2 linked regions of the Xenopus tropicalis genome follow. The protein of the gene in region 1 interacts with the protein of each later gene in a pairwise test. Links are inferred from orthologs where the notes say so. Each region holds a gene or a part of one and is shown on either strand. Other genes may lie near its edges.

Region 1 (2,779 bases):
GGAAGGGCACACAAAAAGATTGTTATAAGGTACCCTAAAACAAACACAGACTCTTTACACCTTAAGCTAGAGATAATTAAGGACTGGGAAAAAGAAAATCAAGAGTCAGAGACCTTATGAAATGTGCCTGTGTGTGAGAAGCAGTCCATGTGTTCTTGCATCCTGATGTGATTAGGGATGTATCAAATATATCATTTTTGTATGTATATTTATAGGTATTTGCTGGCCATTCTTCTGCTCTGTTTAAAGAAGCCAACCACCTCTTTGCTGACTTCAGCAAACTGAAACCTGATGAGCCCAAGGTGAATGTGGCCGAGGCTGCAGCACAAGGAGTAAACTGCCTAAAGCCAGAGTATATTGCCGACTACCTCATGAAGGTTTGTTTAGTGTATAAATTGCAGTCGCAGCTGAATCACATTTTTACTAAACAATGAAAAACATTAGAACTGATATCGGTATTCTTGTGCAACATTCTGAGATTTCTTTTTAATTTATTTTACTAACTTTATTAACCTTAATTCTACCTTCTGCCGCTAAATTTTATGTAATTGAAGTCAATTTTGATTGTATTTTTCAACATTGTTTCTTTACCGGTTATCCCTCTTCTGATTCCTTATCGTTTATTAAAGGGCACATGTTACCTACAATAGGCTACTGCAACCATTAAGCATTATAAAGCCTTCTCTCTGAGCGGGAGTACCTTGCTGACATTGCCAGTGGTCCAAACAAACAAGCATTACTTGAAGGCACTGCCAACCACATAATTCCCCTGTAACCCACTATACCTGGGTGTGTGCATGCTGTCTTGGTCTGCACATCCATATATTTCCAGTATATCACAGTCTGCTGGTAACTTTAGAAACATGCATATAGAAGTAGCCCTATATAAATAAAATTATACTTACATAAATACATATCCATATATTTATGCTGCTCACAGTGGGATATTGCAACTGGGAGCAGTTCCAGTGAAGGCCTCGTTGTTTTGGCTTCTGGCTGATGCTCTGATTCATGTTGTTTTAGCCTAAGAAAAAGTCCACCACAGTCTATATTCTCTTGTATGTGTTGCATTTTGCCTCACCAACTATAAGCAAGCAAAATATCGAGTAATTATTCCCACACAGATCTGTGCTGGAATGTCCTCCTTTCTTTTAGTTATATCATTTGTTATGCTATAAGGGTCAGATGCAATAAAGATAATACATGAAATCAAATACTCCTTTTGTTAATAATTGATGTGAGTAGAAGTAACAGACCAATATTTCTGGTTATAGGAGCCTCCTCCACCAGTCAACAATTACTGCCTCCCTGATGCTCTGCCATATCTTCAGATCACAGTGACTGGGCTTTCTCGCAAAAGGAAAAACTCTGGAGACATCTCTGATGTTAAGAGATCACGGCTTTACTGAGAGAGTGAGAAGTAAGAGCTAAAGGCAGCAGCTTAGCAATACCAGCTATGTTGCACTGTTCTTTTGTAACAAAATGGTATATTCTTTGTCATGTCTGTTTATTTATATGGGAATAGATTTTATATTTCAGATAATTTGTAGAAATGTATACAAATAACATGCAATGTGGTTTTTTTATACAATGTGGCATATGTTGCATGCCATCCATATTCATTGTGTACTGTTGCGGCCCATTTATTTGTACACCTGTATAAAAAGCAACTCTTTCTACTTATATTGATATTGTAGTTCCCTTATTACTCCTGACCAAGTTGCAGGGGACCAGCAATATTAAATTACATGCACATTTGTATGTATATTACTGTTTGTATATGTTCAACACAATAAATTTAAACACAAAAACTACCTCATCCATCTTGAATATGATGTAGGAAAATGAAATCATACTTTTACATACCCGAAATATCAGTAACATCTGTTAAAGAATATGTAAATCTTAAAATATGTCATGAAAAATTGTTTGGTGCTTTCCTAAGAACTTTTGCAATATTTGTTATTTTTGCAGATTCAGAGCTGCTAATATATGAATTTTTTAACAACAGCGCCACTTGTTGGTCAGTTCCTGTAACTGTACAGTCAGTGAGAAATTCAAAAGAAAAACCGAAAAGTGTTCTGATGTTGCTCTGCTCTAGAAGGGGAATGGGTATATTTATTAACATTGGGGAGAAACCTTACTGACTTGATGTTGCCCATTATTTTATATCTATGTACCATCTGGTTTCTCTCTGATCCATTTGAGCAGTTTGGAGGGTACACAATGGTTTGGTTATAATCTAACCTCAGTAAATATGAATATAATCGATTTCAAGTGTTGTGAATTATATGTTGTGATATGTCAGGAATTATATTGTTCAGAAGGGGCACTCAAATTGTTATCTAATAACCCAAGAGCAGAAGAGCTTTTTATGTTTCAACACATATAGGCTATTCTGAGACCTCTGCAATTTCTGAATCATATTGGTTGGTGTCATTCACTTAGGGGAAAGAGATTCCACCTCAGATGTATTCACTGCCTATCAGTATTATCCCTTTAGCCAATAGTTTTGCCCAACTCCTGCTCTGTACATTTAGTACAGGTATGGGATCCGTTATCCAGAAACCCATTATCCAGAAAGTTCTAAATTACGGCAAGGCCATCTCCCTTAGGCTCCATTTTAAACAAATGATTCTAATTTTAGGAAATAATTTTCCTTTTCTCTGTAATAATAAAACAGTACCTGTACTTGATCCCAGCTAAAATATAATTAATCCTTATTGGATGGAAAACAATCCTATTGGGTTTATTTAATGTTTAAATGATTTTTAGTAAA
Region 2 (2,646 bases), on another chromosome or scaffold:
TAATTGTTCAAAATCCTACCTTAATGCTTAATTCCTTCCGTGCTTGTTCAGTTTTACTTAATTCTTTGCGAAGAACATCTATAGTTTCTTCCATTTCTTCTTTCTCCTTTTGTTTTGTTTTCATCTTTTCCTCTAATGATTTTAGTTTTTGCTGCAAATCTAAGAAAACAGTTTTCATTGCACAAAAATAGTCAGAAAGACAATGAAGATCTATGTCAGCAGAATATATAGTTAAGCATGGTCTCTAATAAAGCTGAGTTTAATACTCCCTGACCTGAAACTGGGTGTTCGTGAAATAGCCTTTAACTCTTATTGTATATACTGCATTCCCCTTTTCTTTCCAAAATCATTATATATACGCAAGTGGTTGCATAGCCTGTGCCTGCATTCTTTAAATGAGAATGCAAGTCAAAATTTAAAATGCATACTGCCCAATAGTCCTCCTATTGTTTAGTAAAAACGCCACACTTTTGGCTCACCTAATCAAATATTTACTCAGTCACACTTACTTCACATTTTCTAGAACAGGCAGCCATCTCTAAAAAGGTATTCTCCCTTCCTTTCCCTGCTTGCTTCATACTGCACATGTGTTTCATTCCCCCCCCCTCCCCTCTGCCAGATCCGCTTCTGATTGGCTGATGGGCATGTGTAGCTCAGAACAGCAGACAGGATCAAGTTACACACATGCTCAGAGAATAGGAAGGCTGCCGCTGGCAGCCTACAGGAAGGGGAGAGAGATTTCAGTGATGTCACTGTAGTCTTCACACTGCTGTAGGCTGCCAGCACCATATCTCAGAGAAGCAAGCAGGGATCTGGGAATTAAGATATGCAGTAAGTACTTAAAAAGAATGCCTTTAGACTTTTAATTTATATGAACCTTTCATTGTCCTTTAAAAAGGATTGTCCAGCAAATACAACAGAATTTGCAATATTTTATCAAACAGAAAATCACTTACTTTTTATTTTACTATCTCTGTCCTGCAGTTGCTTATTTAAATCTTTATGTTGGTTTTCTAGTTCATTAAGTTGTGAGATAGTCCTGAAATATCAACAGTTGCTGCTTAGTTAGATACACATTAGCAAAGTTTTGTACACTTTAATGCAGAGACCATTTTAAGTAAAATACATTCATTTAACAAAAGCTGTCATACGTGTATGTTTCCAGACTGCAGGAGATTTAAAGGAGAAGCAAAGGTAAAAACTAAGTAAGTTTTATCAGAAAGGTCTATGTAAATACAGCCATAAGCACTTACAGCCTCCCAGACTCCCACCTCTCTCCCCTGCAATCAATCTTAAACTCTGCTGCCAGGATCCTCCTGCTCTCTCCAAAGAGGGAACCTGTTCAGCCCCACTTAAGCAAAGGATAGCTTACAAAATCCTTCTGCTAACATTCAAAGCCCTTCACTCCTCTGCTCCTCACTACATTTCCTCACTGGTCTCCCTGCATGTTCCTGGTCGTCTCCTCCGCTCCTCTCAGAGCCTCCGTCTTTTTACACCATCCACACCCACTGCGCTCTCTCGTCTTAAACCTTTCTATCTCGCTGCTCCTTACCTCTGGAACTCTATCCCTGAATCCCTCCGTAGGGAAAACTCACCCACTCTCTAAGAAAAAGCTCAGCTGTTACAATCTGGAGCACTAAAACACTATTTTGCCCAGTCCTGCGCTTAAGGGCAAGTGCCCATACCTGGTGCACTCTTACCTTCCAATTTGTGCCTGTATGTTACCCAACCGCTTAGATTGTAAGCTCTATGGGGCAGGGACCTCCTTCCTACTGTGTCTCATACCACATGGCACTTATTCCCTGTGCATTTATATATATTTATTGTATTTATTTATTATAACACTCGTCCTCCCTATTTGTAATTTTGTAAGATTGTACAGCGCTGCGTACCCTTGTGGCGCTTTATAAATAAAGTTATACATACATACAGTAATGCTGCACTCTATCAAAAGAAACACAGGATTTCTTCTCTTGTCCCTTAGGAATGTGTGATCTGAGCTATAACATCTAGACTGCAGGAAGAAAGCTACTTAAAATGGCAACTGATATCTTAAGCAAAGGAGAAAGCTTCTAAAACAGTTACCCAAGTATGGTAATGGTTTCTGCAGAATAAATATATTGCTCTAGGCAGTAAAATGCCAAAATGACTTTCCTTCTCCTTTAATAATTATGTTTTGAAAAAAGTGTTTTTGGACCTTTCAAATTTCAGACTCCTGCTGTGCTGTTTCACAGATCATGGAAATTATTCTGGGACCCACAGTGAGTGAAGAAAAAAAAATACAAATTACTTACTGTTCATTCTGTGTTTTTAGTGAATCATTCAGCTTTTTCATTGTTTCAGCTTGTTTAGTTAACAGATTATATGATGCTTGTAATTCTTTGTATTGTTTCTCACACAACTCATATCTACAAGGCAAAAACAGAACTGTCCTAGATTTTTTTATGTACTTTATAACAAAAAAAAAAAAAAATTGATAATGTGTTAGAGCCTACCAGAGTGAGATGGACCACCAATTAGGGTAATATTTGGGTAGAGTGCAAATTTGTTCTCCATAATACACATGAAGCCTATAACCAGTTAGGGTGAGACTTGTAATGTAAACTTATGTGCTGCCCTAGATATAATTGAAAATAAATAGCTGAA

Evidence for each region.
Region 2: the proteins of topbp1 (region 1) and cip2a interact in a two-hybrid assay, tested with the Homo sapiens proteins (2 studies listed by BioGRID). The link is inferred for Xenopus tropicalis from reciprocal best matches to the Homo sapiens genes TOPBP1 and CIP2A.

The regions. Positions count from the first base shown.
Region 1 is NC_030682.2:52,620,605-52,623,383, forward strand, and holds the end of topbp1 (DNA topoisomerase 2-binding protein 1), read left to right. Parts: intron 1-215; coding exon 216-377; intron 378-1,274; coding exon 1,275-1,409; 3' UTR 1,410-2,271; downstream 2,272-2,779. UniProt on the Homo sapiens protein: Scaffold protein that acts as a key protein-protein adapter in DNA replication and DNA repair. Composed of multiple BRCT domains, which specifically recognize and bind phosphorylated proteins, bringing proteins together into functional combinations.
Region 2 is NC_030678.2:103,666,394-103,669,039, forward strand, and holds part of cip2a (protein CIP2A), read right to left. Parts: intron 2,409-2,646; coding exon 2,295-2,408; intron 1,040-2,294; coding exon 957-1,039; intron 160-956; coding exon 20-159; intron 1-19.